7 linked regions of the Macaca mulatta genome follow. The protein of the gene in region 4 purifies or fractionates together with the protein of the main gene of each other region. This does not show direct contact. Links are inferred from orthologs where the notes say so. Each region holds a gene or a part of one and is shown on either strand. Other genes may lie near its edges. The genes, in order: HIC1, FOXO3, DNMT1, SIRT1, ZEB1, RECQL4 and BRINP1.

Evidence for each region.
Region 1: the proteins of SIRT1 (region 4) and HIC1 purify together in Homo sapiens (affinity purification with western blotting; 4 studies listed by BioGRID and IntAct, with this or other methods). This does not show direct contact. The link is inferred for Macaca mulatta from reciprocal best matches to the Homo sapiens genes SIRT1 and HIC1.
Region 2: the proteins of SIRT1 (region 4) and FOXO3 purify together in Homo sapiens (affinity purification with western blotting; 4 studies listed by BioGRID and IntAct, with this or other methods). This does not show direct contact. The link is inferred for Macaca mulatta from reciprocal best matches to the Homo sapiens genes SIRT1 and FOXO3.
Region 3: the proteins of SIRT1 (region 4) and DNMT1 purify together in Homo sapiens (affinity purification with western blotting; 3 studies listed by BioGRID and IntAct, with this or other methods). This does not show direct contact. The link is inferred for Macaca mulatta from reciprocal best matches to the Homo sapiens genes SIRT1 and DNMT1.
Region 5: the proteins of SIRT1 (region 4) and ZEB1 purify together in Homo sapiens (affinity purification with western blotting; 4 studies listed by BioGRID, with this or other methods). This does not show direct contact. The link is inferred for Macaca mulatta from reciprocal best matches to the Homo sapiens genes SIRT1 and ZEB1.
Region 6: the proteins of SIRT1 (region 4) and RECQL4 purify together in Homo sapiens (affinity purification with mass spectrometry; 3 studies listed by BioGRID). This does not show direct contact. The link is inferred for Macaca mulatta from reciprocal best matches to the Homo sapiens genes SIRT1 and RECQL4.
Region 7: the proteins of SIRT1 (region 4) and BRINP1 purify together in Homo sapiens (affinity purification with western blotting; 6 studies listed by BioGRID and IntAct, with this or other methods). This does not show direct contact. The link is inferred for Macaca mulatta from reciprocal best matches to the Homo sapiens genes SIRT1 and BRINP1.

Annotation. Positions count from the first base shown.
Region 1 is NC_133421.1:3,604,560-3,608,568, reverse strand, and holds the start of HIC1 (hypermethylated in cancer 1 protein), read right to left. Parts: upstream 2,801-4,009; 5' UTR 1,933-2,800; coding exon 1,611-1,932; intron 779-1,610; exon of another isoform or gene 541-778; coding exon of another isoform or gene 504-540; intron 183-503; coding exon 1-182. UniProt on the Homo sapiens protein: Transcriptional repressor. Recognizes and binds to the consensus sequence '5-[CG]NG[CG]GGGCA[CA]CC-3'. May act as a tumor suppressor. Involved in development of head, face, limbs and ventral body wall.
Region 2 is NC_133409.1:13,664,448-13,668,695, reverse strand, and holds the start of FOXO3 (forkhead box protein O3), read right to left. Parts: upstream 2,801-4,248; 5' UTR 2,547-2,800; intron 1,476-2,546; 5' UTR 1,357-1,475; coding exon 739-1,356; intron 1-738. UniProt on the Homo sapiens protein: Transcriptional activator that recognizes and binds to the DNA sequence 5'-[AG]TAAA[TC]A-3' and regulates different processes, such as apoptosis and autophagy.
Region 3 is NC_133424.1:10,861,736-10,865,235, reverse strand, and holds part of DNMT1 (DNA (cytosine-5)-methyltransferase 1), read left to right. Parts: intron 1-1,615; coding exon 1,616-1,713; intron 1,714-1,917; coding exon 1,918-2,065; intron 2,066-3,495; coding exon 3,496-3,500. UniProt on the Homo sapiens protein: Methylates CpG residues. Preferentially methylates hemimethylated DNA. Associates with DNA replication sites in S phase maintaining the methylation pattern in the newly synthesized strand, that is essential for epigenetic inheritance.
Region 4 is NC_133414.1:81,881,658-81,885,869, forward strand, and holds the start of SIRT1 (NAD-dependent protein deacetylase sirtuin-1), read right to left. Parts: upstream 2,801-4,212; 5' UTR 2,735-2,800; coding exon 2,317-2,734; intron 1-2,316. UniProt on the Homo sapiens protein: NAD-dependent protein deacetylase that links transcriptional regulation directly to intracellular energetics and participates in the coordination of several separated cellular functions such as cell cycle, response to DNA damage, metabolism, apoptosis and autophagy.
Region 5 is NC_133414.1:32,703,297-32,707,383, reverse strand, and holds the start of ZEB1 (zinc finger E-box-binding homeobox 1), read right to left. Parts: upstream 2,801-4,087; 5' UTR 2,782-2,800; coding exon 2,724-2,781; intron 821-2,723; exon of another isoform or gene 492-820; coding exon of another isoform or gene 485-491; intron 1-484. UniProt on the Homo sapiens protein: Acts as a transcriptional repressor. Inhibits interleukin-2 (IL-2) gene expression. Enhances or represses the promoter activity of the ATP1A1 gene depending on the quantity of cDNA and on the cell type.
Region 6 is NC_133413.1:154,940,644-154,944,879, forward strand, and holds the start of RECQL4 (ATP-dependent DNA helicase Q4), read right to left. Parts: upstream 2,801-4,236; coding exon 2,540-2,800; intron 2,475-2,539; coding exon 2,441-2,474; intron 2,332-2,440; coding exon 2,237-2,331; intron 2,014-2,236; coding exon 1,873-2,013; coding exon of another isoform or gene 1,866-1,872; intron 1,591-1,865; coding exon 817-1,590; intron 720-816; coding exon 593-719; intron 293-592; coding exon 161-292; intron 78-160; coding exon 1-77. UniProt on the Homo sapiens protein: An ATP-dependent DNA helicase which unwinds dsDNA with a 3'-overhang in a 3'-5' direction. Does not unwind more than 18 bp of dsDNA. May modulate chromosome segregation. The N-terminal domain (residues 1-54) binds DNA Y-shaped DNA better than ss- or dsDNA.
Region 7 is NC_133420.1:38,972,841-38,976,340, forward strand, and holds part of BRINP1 (BMP/retinoic acid-inducible neural-specific protein 1 precursor), read left to right. Parts: intron 1-1,550; coding exon 1,551-1,656; intron 1,657-3,500. UniProt on the Homo sapiens protein: Plays a role in neurogenesis and brain development. May suppress cell cycle progression in postmitotic neurons by inhibiting G1/S transition.

The sequences.
Region 1 (4,009 bases), on a different chromosome or scaffold from region 4:
CTTGAGGTAGGCGCTGCTGGCCGCCAGCACGTTCTTGTGCGCGCGGAAGAGGGCGTTCTGCACCACGATGATCACGTCGCACAAGAAGCCCTTGGTGCGCTGGTTGTTGAGCTGCAGCAGCAGCTGCCTGGAGTGGCCGGGCGCCTCCATCGTGTCCAGCATCGTCTGCCCAGCACACTCTCCTGCGGGGACACACACCGGCCGGGTGAGAGCCGTGCGGCGCCCTGGCCGCCTGCCCCCTGCCCGGCACTTCTCCCCCTCCAGTTCCCCTTCCTCAGCTGAGCGGGGGCATCAGCCCTGCGGCCTGGGCACCGGCGAAGGACCGGCCGCCCTCTGGAGTGGGAGCCCAGGCCGGCCCGCCCGGACCAGGAGAAGGAGCGGGAGGTGAGCGACCGCCGGTGGAGGGGAGGCCAGGCCGGCCTGCATGCCCCAGGGCACCTGGCTGGGTGCTGGGGCTTCCGAGAAGACTGTTCAGGCGAAGTGACCCTTTGGGAGACAGTTACCCGATTTAAGTAAAATGTCCGCTTCAGGAAAAGTCATTCAGGGCGGAAAAGTTTGCCCAAGTAGGGAGAAAGGGAGCCGAGGAACCAGCGCCTCCCGCCTCGGGAGAAGTTGCCCCAGTTGGGGGAAGTGATTCGGAGGAGGGGAGCGCGGTGCCCGCCCTGGCGCCGCCCTGGCCGGGGGCTGTCAACCCTTGGTCGGGGCCCGGGCGGCGGCCGCGCGGGGAGCGGAGGCAGCGGCTGCCGTGGCGGGCAGAGCGCGAAGGCCGGGCCCGGCGCGGGGAGGGCGTTATATCGGGGCAGGAGGCTGAGGCAGGAAGCAGGTGGGGGGGAGGGGGGAGCCACGCAGCTCCCAGGGGAGGGAGGGGGCAGCGCCCCGGGCGGGCACGGCGCACAGCCGGCTGCGGCCCTGACCCGGGCCTGCGCCCCACCCGCGTCCCGGCCTCGGCCTGGGCCCTACACGCGCGGGCCCGGCGCCTCCCTCCGCGGCTCCCCCGGCCCCTTCTCCCCCGGAACTCCGCCGCCCCAAACTTGGGGAAAAGTTTTCCAACTGCAGACAGGGCGGGAGGAGTGCGCCGGCCCCAGGCCCTCGGCTCGCAGCTCTTCCTCGCGGCCCCCAAATCCGGCGGCAGAGCCCGGAGCGGAGCCCTGAGCTCCCCTGCCCGCTGCTCGCCCGCCCGACCCCGTTCCTCTCCTGGCCCGCGGGGCCCCGCGGCCCGTTACCTGCGGCCCCGGAGGGCCGGGCTCCCCTCCCCGCGGCGGTGGCAGCTCTTAGCCGATGCCCCACCCGCCGCTGCCAGGCCCCGAGCTGTGCCAGGGCAGCGCCCCTGCCAGCCCCGCCCGCCAGCTCCCCTTCCCTTCCCTTCCCCTCGCCTCTCCAGCCCATGTGCGGGCACAGCCGGCCCCGGGCCGCTGACCCCGCCGTGAACCCGGCGCGGAGCCGCGGCCCGGCGGTCCCGAGTCCGACAGGGACGACACCCGGAGCCCTGAACGCCAGCCGCCAGCCGCGATGGGGCACCCGCGCCAGAGGATGCGCCCGAGGCGGCCGACGCACGAGGACCGGGCTGTCTCGGGCCCCCGTCCCTCCCGGTCCCCGGCTCGAGGACCCACCTGGGGGGCATGTCGAAAGCCCCGGGCCCGGCTGCCGGCGGATCCAGGGGGGATGTGGCTGCGCTGCCCTCCGCCCGCCGGGCCCCCGGTCGGTCTGTCCTGCTGGTCCGTCCTCCCCGCGTCCTGGTCGCGTCTCAGCCCCGCCGCGCTTTCCGCACACTCTTATCTGGAGCGGCCCGGGCCGGCGGGCGCTGCTGCAGCTATAGCGCCACCTCGCGGGCGCGCGGGGCTCTGCGGGGCAGGCCGCTGCCTTCCTCCCGCGCACCTGAGCTGGAGGCGCACAGATGCTGAGCCGGCGGGGAGGGGCCCGGGCCCACCCCATCCGCAGGTTCGCCCTCCCACCTGTGCCCACCAGGGACCCCGACCCCGCACAAGCGAGCCCCGGAAACCCTGGGGCTTTGAGCTGAGCGCTCCCGTGTACGTATTTCTAGGCTCACAGCCCCAGTTCGGAAAAGTCCTGCCCGCAAACACCGGACTCGGGTGGTGGAGGAGAGGTTATCCTGGGCAGGAGTAGCCAGGCTCTCCTGGAACTCTCCGTAGACATTACTGTACACAGCACTGTCCACTTGGACGCACTCCCCAACACACCCACCCTCACTCAGGCGCATGGATTGGGTGTGCGCGGCATAAACCGGTTTGTCCCCAGCCCTCTCCAGGCACTGGTACTAGCAGGCGCGCACGTTTCCAGACGCACACCCGCCCCTTCCCGCGGCCCTGGCGCTCTGGGATACTCCAGGGGCAGCCACCTGGTGCCCTCCGGGAACCTGGGCAGAGGTGTTACCCACACAGCCCGCCCTCAACTTTCGGGTCTCCTAAAGGAACCCACGACGAGTCATCAGGGCGACTGGAAATGGCTGGACAGCGCCTCCGGGGGTCCGCAGAAGTAACCCCGGGGCCCTAGAATCCCCATGTACGCCGTTTTGAAGAATCCCACGTGAACTTTTTCTCCAACCCACCCGCCCGAAGGAAACAACAGGGGCGCCTGCGGCTGGGACCCCGCAAGGCCCCGCACCCCACGTGAAGGTCAGGTTTGTGTGGGTGACGTCTCTTCTGGGAGGAAGGGGACCCCGAATGGCGCGCCGCTGCCCGCACTACTATTCCGGAAGTGGCCCCGTGCGGCCCCGCCGCGCACCAAGCCTCCTGCGAACGCCGGATCTCCGCGGCCCACGCTCCGCCTCCGCCCCGCACCTCCTGACCCCCGCCCACACGCGGCGTGGAGGGGGGGGGGGTCCCCGAGAACTCCGCCGCTTCTGATTGGCTGCGCCTCCCTCCGCCGCGGAGCGCGAGGGGCTGGGGCGCAGCGTTACCATGGCAACCGATGAGGTGCGCCCGAATCCCGTCCCTCTGAGGCCTTGGAGAGCTTAGCAACCGTGCTCGCCGCCCCCCGCGCTGTCCTCTGGCCCTCATGGCCCCGCCAGAGGTACCGGCTGAGTCACCCGGCGAGGGGCAGCGGGCGCGGCTACCAGCGGCCCCCGAGCGACACCAAGGTCTCGGGCGCCCCCCGGAGGCTCCCTTTGCAGCGCAGGCGACTTCACCGCTTCGGTGCCTGGCGGAGGCTTCGGTCCAAACGAGTCCGCCCCATGTTCTGGATCCATCTTACCCACGCCCTCTCCCATGTCTCCTCATAGCATCCTCACTTTAGAAGCAGTGAGGTCCCAAAGAGGAAAACGGAGGCCTCCGGAGCTGCCGGTCTCTAGGGAAGTCGGACCCCGACATCTTGGCCGAGGGATGTGCGGCGGCCTGAGGTGGAAGTTACGGAAGTTACGGAGTGCTGAGGGGAGGTGGAGAGGCTCCTCAGAAGTGCTCCTAGAGCTGGGCTTTGACGGATGAATAGGAGTTCTCCCACCGCGCAGGAAGGCATTTGTGAATAATAGAACCCGTGGGACAAAGGCTAGCGGCAAGAAAACGGGAGCTCTAGGAGGCTAAATCCAGACTATGCAGGGCCTCTCTGACCCCATCTCTTTTATCTTTTCTCCTTTTGATAGAGTCAGATCCCCCCCACTTCCAAAGAGCCCCTCCGTCCCTTATATCTTTGTGCAGTGGAGTCTGTGCATTGCTAACCTGCCTCAGGGGTCTGCCGTACCCACAGTCTTTATTCTTCAGCTCCCCAAGTTATCTTACTATCCCTACCCCCCATTCTCAAGCCCTAATTGCATCTGTAAAGGAGGGTCTCACAGTCCTGCCCCAGCCCAGGCAGTGAGAGTACCTCCTTGCCCTCCCGTGGACTTAATTCTTCGACCCTTCTCTCCCTGCCCCGCTCTTCCGGCCATGCCATGCACAGCCCTCCCCATCCTGGTCCAGCTCCTCGTCTGAACACTCTCCTCCCATTTAGACCCTTCCTCCATCTCGATGGAGCCAGGCTGGGCCAGGACCATGCATTTCCCTGCTCCCAACCAGGG
Region 2 (4,248 bases), on a different chromosome or scaffold from region 4:
CGGCGGGAGCAGATGGTGCAGCCAGTCTGGATTGAGGTGGCCAGATCGGCCGGTTCGAGGCCCCAGAACATTTCAGAAGCAGCTAGTAAGAAGCAGATTTACTGGAGCGACATCTCTGAGAAGGAAAGGTATCAATACAGGCAAGGAAAGGAAGCCGTCCAGGAAGAGGTTTGCAACCACTACTTTTTCTAATGGGATTGATGTGCCTGTAGGAGTTAACACCCACAAGCTGAAACTTGGACCCGAAGATTCAGCTAGTGACGACACAACATGCTCCTGCGACAGACTGGAAACCACACATCCAACCCCTCCTCTGGACACTGCGTCCCAAACACCCCCCCACACACACCTCTCACTCCACCTACAGCGCCCGCATCAGACCCCCACTACGGTAAACTCTACTCCAAAGTTGGCTGCAGACCTACCTTCTCGGCGCTGTCCTGAGAATCCAGCAAATGTACTCCAGTCCGTTCGCCCTTCCCTCGCCGGCGTCCCCTGCCCCCTCTCCTCACCTGGCCATGCCCTAGGCCTCTGGGAGCCTCCTTCCCCCCTCCGGGCCGTCCCCAGGTGCCCCTGCTACAGGAGTCAAAGAGAACACCCAAAGCCTCACAGTGAAGGCTCCCCCTGCCAACCCCTTGCCCTGGAGCCCGCAGGCGCGCTCCGACGAATCCGAGGGCGCGTCTCGCGCTGCGCAGGAGGCCCGGCGGGTCCTGCCGCCAGCCCGGGGTGGGTACGCACCTTCCAGCCGGCAGAGCTGTTGCTGTCGCCCTTATCCTTGAAGTAGGGCACGCAACGCACCATCCACTCGTAGATCTGGGACAGAGTGAGCCGTTTGTCCGGGGAGCTTTCGATGGCGCGGGTGATCAGGTCCGCGTAGGACAGGTTTCCCCAGGCGTTCCGCCGCGACGAGCATTTCCTCGGCTGCCCGGAGCCCCCAGCCGCCCCCGGCTGCGGCGGTGGCAGCGGCTGCTGAGGCTGCAGCAGCGCCTGTGTACCCCCGCTCAGAGCGCCCGCCGCGGTGGCTGGCCCAGACCCGGGGTCTTGCCCTCCGGGTGCCAGCACCCGGGCCGAGTCCTCAAGGAGCAGCCCGGAGCCCAGCGTGCCGCTCCCGCCGCCGCCGATCGCCATGGCCGAGCCGGCCCGTCCCCCGCCGTCCTCGTCGTCTTCATCGTCGTCCTCCTCGGGGATCATGGAGTCGGCGGCCGTCTCCCCCGAGGGCTTAGCAGGGCTCGCTTGGAGCTCCGGCCTTTGCAGGGGCCACGTACAGGAGCGCGGACGGCTCTGGGGCTCGAACTCCGGGTCCAGCTCCACTTCCAGCGGAGAGAGCGGGGCCGGGGAGGCCGGTGCCTCTGCCATCTTCGCCGCCCGCCCGCGGCTGGGGCTCTCGCGCTCTCCTCTCGCGCCGGGGCGGGGTGCGGCGGGGGAGGGACGTGGGCGCCGCGAAGGCTCCGGCTCCCGGGCGCCGCCGCCGCCGCCTGGGGAAGCACCAGAGGAGAGAGAAGGAGAGTTGGTTATCCCGGGCCGGAGCGCAGTCCTCGGCGAGTCCTCGCCCGCCGCCACTACCTCCCAGCCTTGCCGCGCCCGCCTCCCAGGAACAGGCGGACCTGGAGACGTGCGGCCAGCGAACCTGGCGCAGCAGACACCGCCCCCTGGCCAGGCCGCGGGGGAGCCGCGAGCGAATCGACGGCCTCGCGCGGGGCAGCCCCCTCCCCCCGCGGCCCGCCGCAGGTCCCTCCCGGGCTAGGCGGCGGGGCGGGGAGAAGGGGGAGGGGCGCCCGGGGGAGGGGCGGCCGCGCCTTTAAAGCGGGCAGCGGCCGGAGCTGGCGCAGCCGAGCGGCGGTCAGAGCCCGAGCTCGGGCGTGCGTGCGTTTGTTTATGTTTCGCTCGGGCCCGCTCTAGTGCCTTCCGCGGCGCCGCCGCTCAAGTCTGTGCTGTCTTCGGCTCTTCTCCCCTTTCCCGGCCCAGCTGCCTCCGCGACCCCCCGTCACCCCTAACCCGGTCGAATGGCCCGAGCCCGGGGACTGCGCGGGCAGCTCCCTCTCCTCTCTTCGTCCGCGGGGCGGAGGGCGAACGGGGGTCTGGGCGCAGATGGGCCCTTGTCACTTCCAAAAAATAAAGGAAACACGGAAAGAAGGGGAAGGAGCAGCCCGGCGGGCGTTCGCAGAGGGTCGAGCCCGGCAGGGACGGCCACTTCGGGATTTTGTGTGGTTTGCATTCTCGCGGACGTCGTCCCCTCCGCCCCCTTCCCAGTCGGGATCCGGGGGAGGGAGCGAGTCGGAACATAAATCTTCCAACAGGTCGGGAAGCGCCAAGTCTCCCGGGCTGCTAGAAAACCCGGACCAGCATGTTCATCACCTCCTTGCTCCCGCTGCTGCCATCTTGACAGTTTCCCCCTTCCCTTGAGTCCTTTAAAAACACTAGCGGGCGAGAAGGGGGGCGCGCACACCGCGGCTCGGGGAGGGGAAAGGGAAGCGCCCGGCCCAGCTCGGAAGCAGATCCGGAGTCACCGGGAAGGCGGCCGCCCGCTGCACGGCTCCGGCGCCTACCTCGCTTCCTTCCCTTCAGGGACGCGGCGGGACGACGCACGATCCCGCGCGGGCCCGGGGCACGGCGAGGAGGGGGCGCGCAACCTCGGCGAAGGAGGAGCGCTCGGGCCGTCGCCGCAGCCCGCCCGAGGAACCGCCTGTCAGCTCGCGCGCCGCCGCCTTCCACATTCCTCCTCCTCCCTTCCACGAGCAGGGCGGCCGCAGCAGCAGCACAAAGTTATAGACACACGCAGGGCGCCTCAACCTAAGCTGACGGCGGGCGGGCGGGCGGGTCCCCGCCCAGGGGGAGGGCTGGGCGGCGGGCTGGGCGCGCGGCGGGCGTGTGTGTGTGAGTGCGCGTGTGTGAGCTCGCGCGCGCCTGCGCGGGCCAGCTCCGCGGGGCTGCGGGCGTGGGTGTCCGGGAGCGCGCCGTGAGCCGGGATTCGGCGGGCTCCCGCTGCTGTCCCCGCTGGGCTCCTCCTCCCTCCCGAGAGCCCCAACGACAACAAAGCGCGGCGTTGGCCCGGGAGAGGAGGGAGAGGAAAGAGAAGCGGGAGCTGCAGGAGCGACAGCCTCCGACGCTCCAAGGAGCGCAGCGGCGTGGCCTCCCCGACTCCGGGCAGGGCGCCTGGTACCAGGGTCCCCGACCTGCGCGTCCGCCCGCCGGGCTCTGGGCCAGCCCAGGTGTCCGGTTCCCTGTTAGAACCCGACACTAGGTAACACCCGAGGTGAGATGCTGGGCGTGGATGGCAAGGTTTACCGCGGCGTGGAAATACTGAATGGCGAAGATGTTGGCGCCTGCACAACTTCGATAAGCTGATGCTCACAGATTCGATCAGGCACCAAAAGGTTTGCACTGAATCTCTCGCCTCGGACGGTGGACCACAGTCGTGTTTCACTTTTCATGTGTTTCATGGCAAACGGGGGAGAGGTGTAACTAACTCCGAAGAAATGCAAATTTACCCCTGTCCTACATTCAAGAGCAGATTCCGAACAATTGAGAAGGAGAAATAATTTTAATCTAATTTGTAAATGACGACAAAACCGCTACGTGTGCATTTTTGACTTTAAAAAAAAATACGTATCCTTTAGGTTAAACAAAAAACATCTGCACAAGTCCTTTTTCTACGATCCGTGCCCCAAATCGTTTATTTGTACTCTACGAATGCACTACACGCGACATGCACACCAAAAGTCTAGACACTAGTTCATAAATATCTTTTTTTAAAAAATCCTTGTAAGTCACCAGAGATAGCTCAGAGTCTAGAAGCGGGCTCCTCAACGACCCCATATACAAAAAGGTCCAGCCCAGCGTACACAGGAGCCAGCCCGCCCCGCCGCCTCCGGGCTCCGGGCTTTGCGCAGCTCCCGTCACTCAAGTGACGCGCGGCCCCGCCCCTGCACCAAGCTAGTTCGACGCGTACAAACAGATGATGTCATCGTCTCCACACGCGCGTGACCCCGGAGCTCTCCGCCGCGTCGCCATTCGCTGCGCGGCTTACTCGTCAAGGCACGCCGCGTGCTTACTGGCCGCGGCTACCAGTCTCCAGGCCCCAGACGCCCCTCTCCGCCCCCCGCCCCCGCCCCCCAGCAAATAATAAACAATCGAGTAAAATTCTAAGGAAGGAGAGAGAGGAGAGGGAAAAAGGGAAAGGGCGCACTAGAAACCAATCCTTCGCCCGCTGGCGGTGGGAGGGCTCAAGGGGGGACGCGAGAAGACAGC
Region 3 (3,500 bases), on a different chromosome or scaffold from region 4:
TGTCTCAGCCTCCCAAACTGCCGGGATTAGAGGCATGAGGCACTGCACCTGGCCAAACAGGCACATTTTTAAGTCTTCTTGTTTGTTGTTGTTGTTGTTGAGATGGGTCTTGCTCTGTCACCCAGTCTGGAGTGCAGTGGCATGGCTGTAGCTCACTACATTCTCAACCTCCTGGGCTCAAGTGATCCTCCCACCTTAGCCTCCCAAGTAGCTGGGACCACAGGTATATGCCACCATGCCCAGCTACTTAAAAAAAAAAAACATATTGTAGATGGGATTTTGCCATGTTGCCTAGGCTGGTCTTAAATGCCTGAACTTAAGCAGTCCTCCCTCCTTAGCATCCTGAATTGCTGGGACTGCAGGAATTTGTCACCACGCCTGGCGAATTTTTAATTTTTTGTAGAGATGGGGGTCTTAATATGTTGCCCAGGCTGGTCTTGAACTCTTGGACTCAAGTGATCCATCTACATATGCTTCAGCCTCCCAATATACTGGTTCAGGCATGAGCCACCATGCCTAGCCTAAAAGTCTTAATTCACTGTTTGTTTGATTGTCACTAAGGGCTTGTGATTCACCTTTTTTTTTTTTTGAGACGGAATCTTGCCCAGTCGCCCAGGCTGGAGTGCAGTGGCGTGACCTCAGCTCACTGCAAGCTCTGCCTCCTGGGTTCATGCCATTCTCCGGCCTCAGCCTCCCTAGTAGCTGGGACTACAGGCGCCCACCACCACGCCCAGCTAATTTTTTTTTGTATTTTTAGTAGAGACGGGGTTTCACCATGTTAGCCAGGATGGCCTCAATCTCCTGACCTCATGATCTGCCTACCTTGGCCTCCCAAAGTGCTGGGATTACAGGCATGAGCCACCGTGCCGGGCCACGATTCACCTTTTTTGTTTATTTTTAAAATTTTTTGAGACCTAAAAGTATTAATTCATCATTTGTCTCATTGTTACTAAGGGCTGTATGATTTCCCCTTTTTTTTTTTCTTTGAGATGGAGTTTCGGCCGGGCGCGGTAGCTCAAACCTGTAATCCCAGCACTTTGGGAGGCCGAGACAGGCGGATCACGAGGTCAGGAGATCGAGACCAACCTGGCTAACACAGTGAAACCCTGTCTCTACTAAAAAAATATGAAAAACTAGCCGGGCGAGGTGGCAGGCACCTGTAGTCCCAGCTACTCGGGAGGCTGAGGCAGGAGAATGGCGTAGACCCGGGAGGTGGAGCTTGCAGTGAGCTGAGATCCGGCCACGGCACTCCAGCCTGGGCGACAGAGCGAGACTCCGTCTCAAAAAGAAAAAAAAAAAAAGAGAGAGATGGAGTTTCACTCTTGTCCAGATTGGAATGCAGTGGTGTGATCTTGGCTCGCTGCAATCTCCACCTCCCAGGTTCAAGCAATTCTCCTGCCTCAGCCTCCCAAGTAGCTGCGATTACAGGCACACCCTACCACACCTGGCTAATCTTTGTATTTTTAGTAGAGACGGGGTTTCACCACGTTGGCCAGGCTGGTCTGGAATTCCTGACCTTAAGTGATCTGCCTGCCTTGGCCTTCTGAAATGCTGGGATTACAGGCATGAGCCACTGTGCCCGGCTCTGATTTGCGTTTTTAATACCATTTTTTAGGTGTGTCAGCAGCCTGAGTGTGGGAAATGTAAAGCCTGCAAGGACATGGTTAAATTTGGTGGCAGTGGACGGAGCAAGCAGGCTTGCCAAGAGCGGAGGTAGGTCGGGCCGAGTCCTCCTCCTGTGGCAAAGGACTTGCCAGCTGGTGGCGGATGCACTGTGGAGAAGGGCCCGCGTGTGTGGGAAAGCACCAGGATTCCTTCGTTAGGCATTGTCTCAGGGCCTGTCCCTGTTAGGACGAAAACAGCCTTGGTTGGTCTTACTTAGAAAAGGGGCCTTAGGTATAACCAGTGACATTGCAGGTGTCCCAATATGGCCATGAAGGAGGCAGATGACGATGAGGAAGTCGATGATAACATCCCAGAGATGCCGTCACCCAAAAAAATGCACCAGGGGAAGAAAAAGAAACAGAACAAGAATCGCATCTCTTGGGTTGGAGAAGCCGTCAAGGTAACCCTTGGAGCCCCTCGTTCGGCTCACTGCCATGTTCCCGATAAGCAGGTTCCCCTAGTATCTTGCCAACCTGACCTCTTGGTCAACCTGAGCCCCAGCACCAAGAAACCTGCCTGTTTGCCCCTGAGAGGAGCAGGACTGGCCGAGAGACCATGTTCTGTGGCTCAGTACCAGCAAGGCATTTTTGTATGGCCACAAGGCTCAGTTCTCCTAATGTCCCAAAATGGGCATTTGACACAGTTCTAGGGGCGTCAGGCAGGTGAGCCCTCATAGCTTGTTTTTGTGTTTTGTTTTGTTTGGGACAGAGTCTTGCTCTATCACCCAGGCTGGAGTGTGGTGACATGATCTCAGCTCGCTGCAACCTCTGCCTCCCAGGTTCAAGCAATTCTCCTACCCCAGCCTCCTGAGTAGCTGAGATTACAGGCATGCACCACCATGCCAGGCTAACTTTTTTTGTGTTTTTAGTAGAGACGGGGTTTCATCATGTTGCCCAGACCATTCTCAAACTCCTAGCCTCAAGTGATCCACCTACCTCAGCCTCCCAAAGTGCCGGGATTACAGGCGGGAGCCACCACGCCTGGCCCCTCATAGCTTGTTTTCAAGAGAGCCGTCACAGCCCCCTCTGGCGTGGGGTGGGTCTTTTGGGGGCACCAACAGATGGCCTCCCAGTTGTTCTGTGGTCATCGGCTTCACTGAGGGTCAGTTCCTTTACCACAGTGTGAGAGAAAGGAGTGAGTATCCTCTGTGTTGCTTCTCTGATGTCCATAAATTAAAGATGCAATCAGTTCACTTAAGCATGAGGCTTGCCGCCTGCTGGCTGCCTGGGCCGTGGCTGAGCCCCTGCAGGAGGACAGACATGGGTACTGTTGCATGGCATGAGTACCTCTGCAGGGTAGGGGGCTGGGAGGAGGCTGGGGCCACGAGGCCTTGCAGAGGTGACACGTGGGCTGAGATGGAGAAGGTCAGGTAGGACCTAGCCACACCAAGACCTGGGGGAGAGCTGCACTGAGGTGGCAGTCAGCTTACCTTGGTGGAGAAAGGGAAGGAGGCCCCTGCAGTTGGATTGGCTTGAGCCAGGGGGTGACAGGCAGGACAGGGGCCAGGGTTCAGGCTGTGGCCTTACAGACGATGGTGAGGTGTTGGGAGCTATGCTGTTAAAATCAAATCCTGGGACCCGAGTGGCAGAGCGGAAGTGGGAGGGACGCGAGTTCCCTTGGTTACAGCATCTGGCCGAGGAGGGTGGATGTTCTCTTCTTTTTTATTATTGAAGCCCTTGTAGAACAGGATGTTCTCTTTAGCAGCAACTCTTCATTGACTTCTTGATGAAATGGAGTCATGTCTTACATTAAGTAACAGAGAACCATGCAGGTCAAGGCCAGCAAAGACCCTCAAAATGATCCTCCCTGAACATCTGCTCTCATTTTCAGACTGA
Region 4 (4,212 bases):
TCCCAGCACTTTGGGAGGCCGAGACGGGCGGATCACGAGGTCAGGAGATCGAGACCATCCTGGCTAACACGGTGAAACCCCGTCTCTACTAAAAACTACAAAAAACTAGCCGGGCGAGGTGGCGGGCGCCTGTAGTCCCAGCTACTCGGGAGGCTGAGGCAGGAGAATGGCGTAAACCTGGGAGGCGGAGCTTGGAGTGAGCTGAGATTCGGCCACTGCACTCCAGCCTGGGCGACAGAGTGAGACTCCGTCTCAAAAAAAAAAAAAAAAAAAAAAAAAAAAACAGAAAAAGATAGCCGGGCGCGGTGACTCATGCCTGTAATTGCAGAGCTCTGGGAGGCCAGGGCAGGTGGATCACCTGAGGTCGGGAGTTCAAGACCAGCCTGACCAATATGGAGAAACCCCCATCTCTACCAATAATACAAAAAGTAGCCAGGCATGGTGGCTCATGCCTGTAATTCCAACTACTGAGGAGGCTGCGGCACTAGAATGGCTTGAACCCGGGAGGCGGAGGTTGCAGTGGGCTGAGAGGTGAGCTGAGATCGCGCCATTGTACTACAGCTTAGCGAAACCCCGTCTTTAAAAAAAAAAAAGAAAGAAAATAATCTAGCTAGAATGTATCAATCACAAACAACAGCGTTAGTGAAACGTGTAATAAATGGGCATTTACACAAAAATGTCATTCAAATATAACCTTGGCAATGCGCACGTTAAACTCTCACATAATACTAAACAGGTATCTCTGCATTGTTTCTTCTATTAAACAGTATCAATAACACTATTATTATTAGATAAATAATAAATTAATATTCAACGGTGTTGCTTGAAATCAGGGTCTCTTTACTAAACCAGTCCCTAAAAGCATATACTACTTTTTTTTTGAGACGAGGTCTCACTCTGTCGCCCATCCTGGAGTGCAGTGGCGCGATCACAGCTCACTGCAACCTCAAACTCGGGGGCAATCCTCCCACCTCAGTAGCTGGGACTACAGCAGCTGTGCGACACCACGTCCGGGTTTTTCAATTTTTAGTAGAGAGGAGGTCTCGCTATGTTGCCCAGGCTAGTCTAAAACTCCTAGGCTCAAGAAATCCTCCCGCTTTGGCCTCCCAAAGTGCTGGGGTTACACGAAAGAGCCACCGCGCCCGGCCTGACCCAAGTATTGATAAAGACGAACACATATCAAGGAGAGAAACTCCTCCTTGAGAGAAACAAAAATATGAAACCTGACGGGGCACGGTGGCTCACGCCGGTAATCCCAGCACTTTGGGAGGCCGATGCGGGCGAATCACGAAGTCAAGAAATCGAGACTATCCTGGCCAACATGGTGAAATCCTGTCTCTGCTAAAAATACAAAAATTAGCTGGGCGTGGTGGCGGGTGCCTGTAGTCCCAGCTACTCGGGAGGCTGAAGCAGGAGAATAGCTTGAACGGGACAGGCGGAGGTTGCGGTGAGCCGAGATCGCGCCACTGCACTTCAGCCTAGCGACAGAGAGAGACTCTGTCTCAAAACAAAACAAAAAACAAAAAACCTTGAAGAACATGACAATTGCAACATATCTGCTTCATTATGCTAGAAGTGTTAAACGTGTGTATCATTACTACGTACAAAAAGGTACGCTTGGCCCAAACACCGTTACCGTACAAGAGCAAAATTAGAATAAAATATGAACTGCTCTAAAAGTACTATCACTCTCCCATGCCTACTTCTAACTGCATTACAGAATTTTAATATCTTCAGAAACAGCCATGTTCTTTAAATTTTGCAGGCTGTGACTACAGAAACAGCTTTCCTCTTTTAAAAATTGTAACTTCAGGCATAAAAATATAGACCTTCAAAAAAAAAACAGCAAACTGCACAGGTGTCAGCTTACAAAAAGCAATTGAAAACGCCGACCAACGGGACAGCCAAAAAGTTGCAGACTTAAGTGTGTTGGTGGGTGAAGAAAAGCAAATGAAAAATAAAGAAGAAAAAGGAAAGGAAAAAAAAAAAGCTCTAACAAAACCAATATGCTAAAAGAGTAAGAGGGTGAGAGAAACTTATTTTAAAGTGACTGCGAGAGTCTCCCGACCTGGCTGCTGCGCAAAGCGCAAGGCCGCCCAGGCGGGTCACGGACGGAGGAAAAGAGCAAATCCACCAGCAGCTCGCGCAGCAGGAACGGCAGCCCCGGAGGAGCGCAGCTGAGCGAAGGGCCGTGGTGGGGAGGGGAACGCCGCAGAGCCTGCCCCGAGTCGCCGGCCGCCCTCAACCTCACACCAGTAGGAGCCCGGGGAAAGGGAGGAGGAGATGCGCAGTTCCGGCCGCCCGCACCCTGCGCACCTCGGTACCCAATCGCCGCCGCCGCCGCCTCTTCCTCCTCCTCGCCCTCGTCGTCGTCGTCTTCGTCGTAGAAGCTGTCGGCCAGCGGTGGCTCCCGAGATGGGCCCTGCAGGCCCGGCCCATTGTCTCCTTCCCCAGCCGCCGCAGTCGCCTGGGCCTCTTGCTCCCCGCCCGCCGCCGCCGCCTCTGCCTCCCGCCACAGCGCCGCCGCCGCAACCGGGCAGCCCCCGGCCGCCGGCACCTCACGCTCTGGGGCTGCCCCACCGGGCTCGCCCGGGCTCCGCTCGAGGCCAGGACCATCTCTCCGCGGCCTCTTGCGGAGCGGCTCCCCGGCGGGGGGCGACCCGGCCTCCCTCTCGGCCCCCGCCGCCGAGGGGGAGCCGCCGGGCTGAAGGGCGAGGGCCGCCTCGTCCGCCATCTTCCAACTGCCTCTCTGGCCCTCCTCCCTCGCCTCCTCTGCTCCCGCTCGACGCGCGGCACTGGCGCCCCCGCGGCTCCGGCTGCGGGAGATTTAAACCCCGTCACGTGACCCGCCCCATCGCCGCCCCCGCCCCCTCGGCGCTCCCGCCACCCACGCGGGCCAGACCACAACACTACGGGTCACGTGACGGGCGGAGGCTGTTGCATCTACCCCTCCGCCTGGGCTGGAAGCACGCTCGGCCCCGGCGGCCGCGGCCCTGCGCCTTTGTGGCGGGCGTGTAGTGCAACCAAATTCGCCCCTCGGCCGCTTTTTGAACTTCTCTTTGAAACCGACCTCAAATCACTACCGCCTGAACAGCTCAAGTTTTGGTCCGCCCTGGGAATTTCCACTTCTACCTGAAGTGTACACCTGGCCTGCCTTAGCGTTGTCTAGCTTTAGCTAAGGGTTGAAACACAGCTGAAGCTGGCTAAGGACTTAGCTCCCTGAAATACGCTGGATAGTCGTTCTGTTTTGTTAATGGGTAGGAATAGAGGCAAAAGGAGAAGGCTCCCTTCCCACCCTCCTCACACCGTTCTGACAGCTCCTCTTTAGCTCCTTTTTCTGCTCCTAGCTTCTCTCCTTAGTTGCTTTTTCTCCTCTCTCCATCACTTGTAGGGTGGTATAGATTGTCACATCCTGGGAAGACCTTTGACTTGGAGGTTTGGAGTTCAGCCGATCTACTTTCTGGCCCCAGATTGGCTTCAAACGTGTGTGAATTCCCTCCTCTGGGCCTCAGTTTTCTCACGTGCAGAATGGGTTTGTTGGGTCGGTATGAGGAGAGCTCGGGAAGAAAATGGCTTGGCCTCCATGGACATCTGCTCTTGGTTAAAATTTGGAGTCCTTCCTTTCTAGCATGAGCTATCTAACCTTTTCTAAAGTTAATTTTTCTCATGTCTTAAATTGTAATAATGAAGTACTTTAAAAGGTCATAGATTTAAATGAGATAACCAGATGTAAAATCAGGGGTACCTAGTAGTTTAAAAGGCTTAGTGGAAAGCCCTTCCACTTTCCTCTCTCCCTGAAATTCTGGGACACTGTGACTCCATATCTAACCTTAACTGAGGACCCATATAACCCATGGTAGATCTAGAGCCGGTGTTTGTTATGGCATCTCCCTGGAGCACAGCCTTTCTATCTGTTTAAAGGACCTCTATGAGTTTATGGTACACTGTCCCTTAAGCCGAGCGTGGGTTCTGGCCATACTGCATCAATTACTTGCGTGACTTTAGGCAATCAACTTAAAGCTGTTTCTTCATCCTTAAAATTAAAAAAATTAAAAATAGAATGTTGGAAATATATCACTAAGGTCCCATCTGCATCCAAAAGTCTTATTTCATCTGGTCACCACTATTCATTTCTGAAAGTGATCATCTCTAGTCCTAGAAGCCTTAAACCCATCTTTGGGAGCGTGGGGGACAAGGGGAGGGAGAGCATTA
Region 5 (4,087 bases), about 49 Mb from region 4:
CGTTTTGTGCTAAACAGACGCAAATCTGTTTTTCTAATATTAAACACAAAGGAAAAACACTGACATCAAGCATGGTAAATAAATCCCTCCCTTGAGAATGAAAGCAGCAGACAGGAGGGGGCTGACATACATGCAGGAGAAAACTAAACACCATCTTTTTTCTACCTGCACAAGTTGCCATTTGCTGCAGCGATCAAGAACCTCTTTTTCTTCTTGATTTCAAGTACCTTTCAGGATCGCTTTTCCCCCCTTAAGTCATCTGTTGATATGCCTTACAAGTGTAATATTCATATCACAGGATCTTAAGGAGAAAAATCCATTCTTTCCTGTTCAGGTAAACATGTTTACAGCAGCTGCACAGACGCTGGGTGGTTCAGACTCACATGTCACACACATGTCGTCAGCAACAAGAAAAGCCCCTTTCTCTGGCGATCAACATTTTAAATAAGGTAAAAAGCGAACAGCTCTTTCCGAACCAACTTACCTTTCATAAAGCCACATCAGCAACAGCGGCAACAGCTCAATATAGAACACACACTATTTGACGCTAAAACAGGAAATTAAAATTGCAATAGCCTATGCTCCACTCCTTGCTATAACAAGTCATCTCTCCACAATGAGGATACCAAAATACCTTTCGATTATAATCAATATACGTCTTTAAAATGCAAGTGTTTATTTGAATAATTAAAATCACTCATGAAAGCAGTGATTTTAATGTCGACTCGAATATATTAAAAACATATTTATGGATTGAAAGGAAACATCTTGAAACAGCTTAAAAATCTTCGTATCTGCTTCTAGACAGGAAATCCCACACAAAATCTAAAATTGCCAGGAAAGGTTACAAAACCTCGCGTTTCGCATCCCAGAGGGGAGGGAGAAAGGGAGCCCAGGCGCGGGGGGTGGGGCGGGGGAGCAAGAGAGAGTTTTCTCCTAAATACGTATTTCCTCGTTTTCTCGACGCTGCAGCGGTCCCCTTATAGACGCATTTATTGCCCCTCTCTTAAAAGTCGTTTTAAAAATAACGCAGGAACCAAAGCGAGCCCCTCGGTCCGAAATGTACGTGTAATTCCTTATATAGCCTGGGCTGCGGCCGGCGGCAGGGCCGTTGCCGCCCATTATTATACAAACAGGTACCCGGGCGGCGCTGGCGGGGGCTGCTCTCCCCGCGCTCCCGCCGCCCCCGGGCGGACAAGTCTCGCCCCTCTCGCCACAGGAACTGTCCAGACAATAACAATCAGCAGACATTTCCCTGCTGCACGAGAGGGAGAGAAAGCACAGCATCGCCCCGAGATAACCAGAAATACAATCAACTTACAACTCTCCAAACTGGAAAAGGCGACTGTGCAACCACCACCACATGTTCAGGTCTCGATCCCTCGGGCTGTGTGTCTCTCTCTCTCTCTCTTTTTTTTAACTCTCACGCCAGGCAGAGGGGTGTGTGTTTCCCCTGGCACAGCAGCACAAATCAATAAACACTGCAGCTGCGGCGCGAGTAGCAGCCCCGCGCGTCCGTCGGTCCGTCCGCCCCCTCCCCCCACCCTCCTTCCACCCGAGACCCAGAGCGCCATCCAAGCCCCATTATCCGGCTTCAGCGCTCCGTGCGTCCGGCCCAGGTAACAACTTCCCCAAAAAGCGAAAGAGAAAAGCGAGAGGCGCACGCACACCGGCCCATCCCGGCGCAGAGACCGCGTCTGCCCCGGGAGGGGGATCTGTCTGTGGTGCTTCCCGGTCTCTAAGCCCAGGTAACAACTCCGCAAACACACCCGCCGCCCAGCTCGCCTCCATCCGCGCGGCTCCCGGTGGCGTTAAGTAGGTGCCTTTCCTGCCCTGTCCCCGCGCCTCCCCGCCGCGCCCCGCCAAACGTGGACCCCAATCGCGGGGCTCGTAGCGGAGTCCCCAGGCCGGGGCTCTGGGCCCGGCGGCGGGAGGCGCCGGAAAGGAGGGGCGCTTAGGCACCCGCGCCCCCGCCTCTAATCCCCGTTCCGCGAGCGCGCCCGGCCCGCGGGTCCCAACTTTACCGCCGCCGGCCAAGCCCTGTCCGCCCGCGGCGCGCACCGCCGGCGCCCGCGCACACGCGCGCACGGACCCCACGCAACCCGCGGTCGTCCCGTCCCGCCGCCGCCCGCCCGCCGCGCGCCCACAGCCCGGCCCGAGTCGCGGGGCCCGAACGACGGCGCCAGCCGGGGCCGCGGCGCGCGGAAGCCACTTTGCACGGTCAGCGCCGGGCACAAGTTTGTTCTGCGGCTCCCGGGTGCTTGGGCGCTGAGGGAGAATCCCGCCGAGGGGGCCGGGAGGAAGTGCAGAGGGAGGCGCCGAAGGGTACAAGAGTGGGGAAAAGTGCCGAAAGAAGCAACAGCCGCTCCACCCGGGACCAGAAAAGTGGCCAGCGCGTCCCGGCCGCCCGCCCTGCGCCGGGGATGCGGCGGCGCCGGCGGCGGCTAACGGTCCAGGGAGGCGGCAGGGGCGGCTGGAGCCGCTAGGCGGAGAGAGACCAGGTAAGAGACATAACGGTTCAGGGAGAGCGAGCGGCCGCGGCGCGGCTCCGGCAGCGACGGCAGCGGAGGGGGGCAGAGAGCACTACTTTCTACTTTCCCACTCCACTTTGCCGTCCCTGCCCCGGCCGCCCCCAGCCCGGCTCGCCCCTCTCACCCCCGGGGGCGCCCCGGCTGCCCGGCTCCCCCTGACTCCGCTGCTCCCCGGTCCCCTCCGCCACTCACCGTTATTGCGCCGCGGGTTCGCCTGCTTTCTGCGCTTACACCTGGGGCCATCCGCCATGATCCTCTCGCTTGTGTCTAAATGCTCGAGTCACCTCCTCCCCCTCCCTCCCCCTTCCCCCCCACCCCTCCGCCTCCACCCCTCCCCCCTCCCCACCGCACCTGGTTTACGACACTCCCGGCTTTACGACATCACCTTCCTTACACCTAGAGGCGCTCGCTCTACGGCCGGAACCTTGTTGCTAGGGACTGGGCGGTTTGCGGCAACCGTGGGCACTGGTGAATTTGAATTGAGGGGCGAGGGAAAAGTTTTCCTCAGGTGTGGTGGGGTGAGGGAGGCGGGTGTTGGGAAACCGTGGGGACGTGGTCAGAAAGGCGACGGGCTGTCGGAGTTGGAAAGGTAAAGTTGGAGGCTCGGCGGCGTCCTGCCTCCGCGCTGGCCACACCCGCCGCGGCTGCCCTGGGCAGGGAGAGATCTGGCTGATTCTCTCTGGACCCTGTGCCCTCGGAGCTGCCCCTCCGAGCGCCCAGAGGTCCCCGCCTGCCTGCTTCCTGGAGGCAGGGCTACCATCAGTCCCACGCCTCGCGTGTCAGCCCCGCGCACCCCGGGGCCAAGGAAAGGGATCGCGGTCTGGACTCCCCGGGGAGTTCCCTTGAAGAGGGGAAGGGCAGTTTCGGGGACGGCGAGGACATGCGGCGCCCGGAGAGAGGCTACCTGACCCGCGCAGCCCGGACTCCCTTCCCTTCCCTTCCAGGGACGCCCGGTTTCCCCCCAAGCGAACCAGGATGGGAAGTGACTTCAATGAGATTGAACTTCAGCTGGACTGAAAGAGAGGCTAGAAGTTCCGCTTGCCAGCAGCCTCGTTAGTAGAGCGGAATGAGTAATACCCACACGGTGCTTGTCTCACTTCCCCATCGGCACCCGGCCCTCACCTGCTGTCACCTCGGCCTCCCCCACCCGGTCCGCCCTCCCCGCCCTCCTCCTCGCGTAGATCCCTGGGATCCTAGGCGGCAGGACTCAGAGCTAAGCCTGTATCCACAGGCCATGAATTCCTTCCTAAATGAGCGGTCATCGCTGTGCAGGACCTTAAGGCAAGAAGCATCGGCTGACAGATGTGATCTCTGAACCTGACAGATTGCTGATTTTATCTTATTTTATCCTTGACTTGGTACAAGTTTGGGGATTTCTGAAAAGACCACGCAGATAACCACAAATATCAAGAAAGTTGTCTTCAGTGTTCAGTAGAATTTAGATTTAGGTTTCCTTCCTGCTTCCCACCTCCTTCGAATAAGGAAACGTCTTTGGGACCAACTTTATGGAATAAATGAGCTGTATGCCAAATAATATAGTTATAAATTAACAATGT
Region 6 (4,236 bases), on a different chromosome or scaffold from region 4:
GACTGCACGCTCCTGCCCAGGACGGAAGGCTTGGTGTCCCAGCTGCTCCAGGGCCTGGAACACCTCAGCCGGCGTCTCTGCAGACACAGGTGTTGACCACCATGACTTAAGTCACACCAACCCCTCGGTAAAGGCTCTGGGCCAGCAGCTGACTGCTTACCTGCCAGCTGCCCTGAGGGCCCCAAGGAGTAGAGTGGCAGCATGGTGGAGGCCAGGCCGGGCACCCCAGGCACAGGTTGTGGTGCAGGAACCAGCGGCTCAGGGCCAGCAGGGTCTGTGTCTTCCTCACTTACTGGGGCAGGCAAGAGAAGGTGGAATGGGAGCTCCAAGCAAAACAACCATTGGCCACAACCTTCTCTTTCCCCAAAGGGGTTGGCAGCAGGCAGTGCCCTTCTTCTGTGCTACTTCTTCTAAAGCATAAAAGGTTGACACCCATCCTCATCCTTGCCACCCTGCTTTGGGGGAGCCAGGGTAGGGCCTGGACCAGGGGCACCTGGAAGGTCTTTTGCTTGGAACAGAAGTGTCGCCCAAAAGAGTACCGTGCCCTCTCCACAGTGGTGGCCAGACCCACCCTCCAGGGCAGATGTCTCACCTGGCTGAGGACACTGGGGTGCCCAGTGATCAAACTGTTCATTCAGGAAACAAGACTCCTTGATCGTGACTGTGGCACCACCACCCCCAAAACACTCCCCTTTCTTCCGCCACTTCTGCTTCCATGCCTGAAGGGTGCCCACATAGGAGGGTCACTGGGTGGGACATGCAGGGGTGCTGAGGGGAGGGAAAGGGAGGGCCTGTCCCAGTCCATCGCCGTCTCACCTGCTTGCGGAGGAGCCTGCCACGGAGTGCCCGGCCCTGCACGTAGCGTTTCTGTTTCATGTTGAGCCGTACGTAATTGCCCCTGTCATGGCGGGCCAGCCTAGAGATGTGCAGATGGGCTGTGCCCTCAGCCTTACCCGCCCTAGCTTGACTGGAGGTGCTGAATCTGTGGTACCTGGGGGTCGACAAACTGCTGCAGGGCTGAGGTGGCTGTGCCTGTACAGGTTCCCCTGGAGGGTCTTCCTCAAGTGCGACAGCCCCAGCCCCCTCCGATGGGGGTCCAGCCTGGCTGCTCTGCTGCTGGACCTGTGCGGGGCTCCCCCAGAGCTCCTTGTTCCGTCTCTGCTTCTTGCCTCGACTGCTGCTGGGCTGGGGGCTCCCTGCACGGATGCTGACTTCTTGGAGGGCTGAAGCCTCTGGGTCTGGGGAGCCAGCACCAGGACCAAGGACAGCTGACTCACCCGGGATCAGAAGCTGTGATTCCTCTGAGCCTAGGCCAGGCCTGCAGGCTTTGGGGGCCCCCAGAAAGTCTGGGATCTCACTGTGACATCGCTGTAACCAGTCAAGATCTAGGGAGGCCAGCTGCTGGCTCAGGCATGCCTGCAGGTGCTGCAGCTGGCCCGGCCTTGGCTGGGGCCCAGGGGGCTGTGGAGGCTCATCACTGACTTTTTCTGCAAAGGTGGGGACAGGCCTTGTGCCTGGGGGATTTGGGGTGGGCGTCTTGGATGAGGATCTTCCTAGAGGCCAGGGTCTGCGGCCTAGGGCTGGTCCGGCCTGGGAAGGGAACAGAATGGCAGCAGAAACTCAGGCCCCTGGGCTTCTGTAGACTCTGAAACCTGCCTGAGTTCCCACCTTCAATGGTAAGACAGGTTAATTAGCACAAGGCTGGCCTAGAAAGGGAGTCAAGGGCGAAGGCCCCGAGAAACTCCGTGGAGACTCGTGCCCTGGTTGGCACAGGAGCCTGTGCCTGTCTGTGTGGAAAGAGTGACAAGAAAGAACCCCGGGCCAGAAGCACCTCTGGACCTAGTGTGGACTCACTGCTTGCTAACTCCTCACCTGCAGGGTGCCTTTCAGGTTGGCCTTGAGCCGCTGCCCGTAGTCCGGCACCGACCCCTGGCAGCTCCGCCCTGGCGTATGTTGTGGACTGTGGGTTGCAGCCCGATTCAGGTGGGGCCCCCAGCAGTGGGACTCTGGTGCCTGCAGGAGACAGTAGGGGCGCAGGCCAGAAAAAGGCTGGTGTGGAAGCAGAGGCGCTCCCACCCACCCCCTCACACCTGGAGCGAGGCCCGGCCCGTCTTCACTTTGCTCAGTCCCCCTCCCAAGTTCTGTGCCCCACGGAGGCCTGGCCGCGACTCCGTGGCTCCTGCCACTCCGCCAAACAGGAAAGTGGGAGGAGGCTGGGGTGGCGGGGCCTGGATACCTCTTCGACGGCCACGGGGAGCAACTCGGAGCTGCGGGGCCCGCCGCCGGCCTGGCCCACGGTCCGCTTGAGAGTACGATACTCCCGGTAGAGCGCTGCGTGGGCGGGCGGGAGGCGGGGTCAGGGTGGAGCCTGGGCCCCCGCCGACCTGGCGTCCTCCCGCCTCCGTCGACCCGGGACCCCGCCACCCCGCCGCGCGCTCACCGCGGGTCTCCTGCGGCGCCGCCTCCACGTCATCCTGTAAAGGGAACGCGTCAGCCGCGGGCCGCGCCCTCAGCCCCTCGGCCCCAGGGCATCCCGTACCTGGCTCGGCCGCCGCCCGCGCTCCCGCCGGAACGCGCGTTCCCACGCTTGCAGCCGCTCGCGCACATCCCGCAGCCGCTCCATGGCGGGCCCGCCAGGTCTCCGAGCAGTCCAGCGGCCGCCCAGCGAATCTCCCGCGCCGCAGACGATGGGGCCAACAGCCAATGCGGGCGCGCGGCGGGCCGGGGGCGGGGCCACCGCGACTAGGCAGCCAATCCGCCGGGCCCTGGACAAGCAACCAATGGGGGGCGCCGACGTCATCGCGGGGCGCCGCGGCGCCGTGCGGGGCGCGGCGGACGGTCTAGGCGGGGCCGGAGGCGGTGGCTGCGGCTGCGGGACCGGTGAGCGCGGGCGGCCAGGCGGGGGTCGGAGTGGGGCGGCGTACGTCCCTGGCCCTGCCTGGCCGCAAGGGGCGTGGCAGCGGTCGCTCGGGGCGGCCCGGCTGAGGGAGGCAGTAGCTGCATTTGGGAGCCCGGGGCCGAAGCCGGGAGCCCGGGCGGTGCCATAGCGGGCCGGGAAGGACTGGGAGTCCCCCGGCCGGTCGGAGCGGCGTCAGGCCCTGGTGGGAGACGCACCTGGCTTGGAGGAGCAGGCCCCGCCCGGGACAAGAAAGAGCGGAGGGACCAGCGCCTCCCGCGACTGGAGGCCCAGAGGAGCCGGGCGGGGGCGTCTTTTCGAAACGCAGGCAGCCGAGGGCCGACGCGTTCCCCGTGGCCGGCGGGAGGGGCGGGGGCCTCGCACGGAGGTGCCTGCCTCCCTTGGTGGCCAGGCCGTCTGCTTTCGTGTACTCCCGTGACAGGTGCTCGGTTGGTCTGTCCTGTCAGAGCGAGGTATGACCGTTGAGATCTCAGAATGAGACCGAGGGTTGGTGTCTGGGACTTTTCAGGAAGCGGTTCTTTAAGGACTTATTTGTATGTGCAAAAACAAGGGCCCTGGGGCCAGAGTGTCCTCCCTAGACCCCTTCCCTGACTTGTCACTCAGGCTGTGACCTTGGGCCAGGCCTAGGCCTTCATTTTCTAATCTGTCACAGGGAGATGGCTGCGATTTAGTTTTGAGGATGCTGCAGTCAGCAGCAGGGCTGGCACCCTGTGTCACAGGTACCTTGTGGCCTTGGGAGTGTTCGCGCGCATCTCTGCAGCTTGAGTGCTGCTTAGGCAGCTTTCTTTGCCTTGTCTGAGCAATCTGTAGCCTTGCACCTTCCGAATCCCACATACTTAAGACTTGTTCTTTCCACAGTGGCTCTCCAGGGAAGAGGGAGAGGTTTTAGGCCACTGGTAAGAGCCACCAAAGGTGAAGGTTGCTTTCTTTCAGGGGTCTTCGTGCTTGGTGACACTCTGGAGAATAGTTTTTTTGGGGGGGGCTTATATTGAAGGCTTGGATTTCATAGGCTACATCATCTGGACTCAGTATTCCCTAGGTCTCGGTCTTTTCAACCTGCCCTGTTGCTTATGAAGCTGCATCTGTGCTTCCAGCTCTTTGTTGTTTTGTGGAGTCCCAGGGTAGCCCTGGAGAGCCTCTGTGAGGAGAGGGGAGGGAAACGTGATTTGGCTGCTTGACTCCTTGGAGTGTCCCGTCAACGTTAATGCTGATGAAGGTTGGTGGGGAGAGGCCTGGACTTTATTCAGGTTTCGAAGAAGGTTTTGTGAAGCAGCTTTGTAATTTGGGAGGCCTGAAGTACCCATGGGGGGCCCTGCAAG
Region 7 (3,500 bases), on a different chromosome or scaffold from region 4:
TCTGTTTTTTTTTTTTTTTTTTTGGTTTGTTATTGTCTTTTGGAGATGGAGACTTACTCTGTCACCCAGGCTGGAGTGCAATGGTGTGATGTTGGCTCATGGCAACCTCCACCTCCCAGATTCAAGCAATTCTCCTGCCTCAGCCTCCCGAGTAGCTGGGACTACAGGTGCGCGCCACCACGCCCAGCTAATTTTTGTATTTTTAGTAGAGACTGGGTTTCATCATGTGGCCAGGATGGTCTCGATCTCTTGACCTTGTGATCCGCCCACCTTGGCTTCCTAAAGAGCTGGGATTACAGTCGTGAGCTACCACAGCTGGCCTGGGTCTATTTAAGACCAGCCACTAACCTAGATGGAGAAGTTTTGCCCATTCACTGTTCTCCCCACCATAGGTATCTTTAGGAAAATAAAATGGTAAGTTTAACTCTCTCTCAATAATAAATATGTTATTATTTTGTATATAAAAATAAATTATTTGTAAAACAAAACAAAAAATACAAAACCTAATTATTCCCCATTTACTAAATATTACTGTACCCTAAGTTTGAAACACTTCAAAAATATAATCTCTTTACCCTATTTTGATGACTAATAGCATTACTAACATTTTATAGAAGGGGAAGTTGAGGCTTAGAAAGAGAAAGTTACTGATCCAAGGTTTCACAGCTGGAAAAGGGCAGAGAAGGTGCGTGTGGCTGCCTCCCAAGTCATTATTCCCTACAACGGATGCTGTGTTTTTATAGCTGGATGCAAACTTCAAAACAACCCTAAATAATGGGAAGCAAAGACTAAATAAATGAAGAGGCTTCTTTTCATACTAAGCCATTCTTATTTCAAGGTTATCTTTTTGAATAGCTGTTGCTCTCTTATCCACCACCTCAAGTCTTTCTAAGACAGTGTTTTGGAAATGCACATCCACAGGATTGGGTCATTTTCTCCTGTGGCAGCACAATGCTTCTGCTAAATCTTCTTTAGGAAAATGGGCATCATTTTCTTATTCTTGCCTAATAATAATATATATGTACTCATTACAACTTACGGAGCCGTTTGGTAATAAGGTACCCATTATGGAACACATGCCATGTGCCAGGCATTTAGACCCATCGTACCTGGTCTCACAACCTCTCTGGAAGAGATTTACTAGCTTTGGTTTGCAGATACTTAGAGAGGTTAATTGGTTCCCCTAGGTCCCAGGGTAAGTAAATGGCCTAGCCAGGATTTAACACTAATTTTTCTGATTCCAAAGTCAATGCTTTTGAAATATAGTGCGTCAACTTTTAAGTTCATGTCATACTTGCAGCCACCGTGTGAAGTGAGAACCAGTGGTAGGAATAGGCATGCACTCTGTATGCTTGACCACCCTGCTAGCCTGTCTACTCAGTGACAGCCGTGGTTGGTCCCAGACACAAGCACGGAGCTCAGAAAGTGACTATGGACTCAAACCAGGAGGCCTTTTCTGCTGACTCTGCTCTGCTGGGGCATGACTCTTCGGGGCATGTCCTAGACAAGGACTCCTGTCTCACACCTGTCTCATTTGATGTCTACTGCAGGTCACAGAGACACGCACTGGGCCTCTGGGCTGTAACAGCTATGACAATCTGGACTCTGTGAGTTCCGTCCTTCTGCAAAGCACGGAGAGCAAACTGCACCTTCAAGGTAGGAAGCCAGTGGAAAAAGTGGGTTCAGTGTTGGGGGAAGCAGCATGGATGTGGTATGTGGGAGAGGGGATCAGGAGGGATGGTGTGAAGGGAGAACAAAGAAGAGGAAGCATGGAAAATCTAATGAAAACTGCAGATATGGAAATTAGACAGTTATGATAGGTGTGTACATATATATTTAGAATTTTATCATATGCAGGACATTAAATTCATGATTATTAATTAGTTTTCAGATAGAAAGTAAGGAAATGTGAGCTTTAATTAACTTGTTTGTATTTATAAATATCTGTATTTCTTTGGTGTCTGCATATGTCAAGTTTATGTTTGGGGCTCCATATACATTATTTTAAAGAAAATATATCCTTTAAAATAGTAATTTCATCCTTATTAATTCACATCATAAAAAGGAGAGGAGATTGCTGGGAAGAGTTGGACAAGGCTTTAAGTACACATAGCACTGTTTTTAAAAAGCATAATGTATTATATCAAAAAAAGTAAGGATTTCAATTTTTCACATGAGAAGTCTAAGTGAATTATATTGCATTAATACAACATAATATTAAACTGGTACTGATGTTTATAAAGAATTTCCAATAATATGTAAAAATAACTTGATATAATGTTAATAAATAAAAGGTTTCTGATGGAATGGATGGCATGATCTTAATAATTTAAAGAGGTAAATAAAAATAGGCTGGGTGCAATGGCTTACGCCTGTAATCCCAGCACTTTGGGAGGCCGAGGTGGGTGGATCACGAGGTCAGGAGTTTAAGACCAGCCTGGCCAATATGGTGAACCCCAGTCTCTACAAAATTTATTAAATATTTAGTAATGCAAAATTACAAAATACAAAAATTAGCTGGGTGTGGTGGTGTGCGCCTGTAGTCCCAACTACTCAGGAGGCTGAGGCAGGAAAGTCGTTTGAACCTGGGAGGCAGAGACTGCAGTGAACCGAGATCCCGCCGTTGCCAGTCCAGCCTAGGTGACAGAGCAAGACTCTGTCTCAATAATAATAATAATAATAATAATAATAATAATAATGGCTGGGCGCGGTGGCTCACACCTGTAATCCCAGCACTTTGGGAGGCCCAGGTGGGCAGATCACGAGGTCAGGAGATTGAGACCATCCTGGCTAACACGGTGAAACCCCGTCTCTACTAAAAATACAAAAAATTAGCCGGGCATGGTGGCGGGCGCCTGTAGTCCCAGCTACTTGGGAGACTGAGACAGGAGAATGGCATGAATCTGGGAGGTGGAGCTTGCAGTGAGCCAAGATCGTGCCACTGCACTCCAGCCTGGGCAGCAGAACAAGACTCCACCTCATAATAATAATAATAATAATAAAGCAAGGAAATATGCCCAGGTATTAGAATAGCTTATCTCTGGATCTCTAGGTTGCTGATGATGTATTTTAGGCATCTAGTTTCTTTTCTAACTTCTCTACAATGATCACATATTAACTTTATAATCTGAAAAAAAAATGACATACTTTAACTTTGAGCAGACTAAAAATGTGACCTTTTAGAAAGGTATATGATAAAGGTGATTCTGAATGTCAGTGGGAGGAAGTTGGGTTGAGATTGGCAGGTAAAGCTAAGAAGAGCCTAATGTGACTTTTATATTCTGGTTCCTTGGCAACTCTTTGATTCATGCTCCTGTTACAGAAGGTGGTTAGAAAGCATCTCCTGTTTTCTAACATGCATGGAGGGCTTGGTAGTGTCACTTGAGGGCAGTGAATGAAAATTCCTCAGGGAAATTCGGGCCAAGAAAGTGGTTTACTATTAAATAACAAAACACAACACACTAGAAACTTAAATACATGGAGCATAACCCTACCCTGTT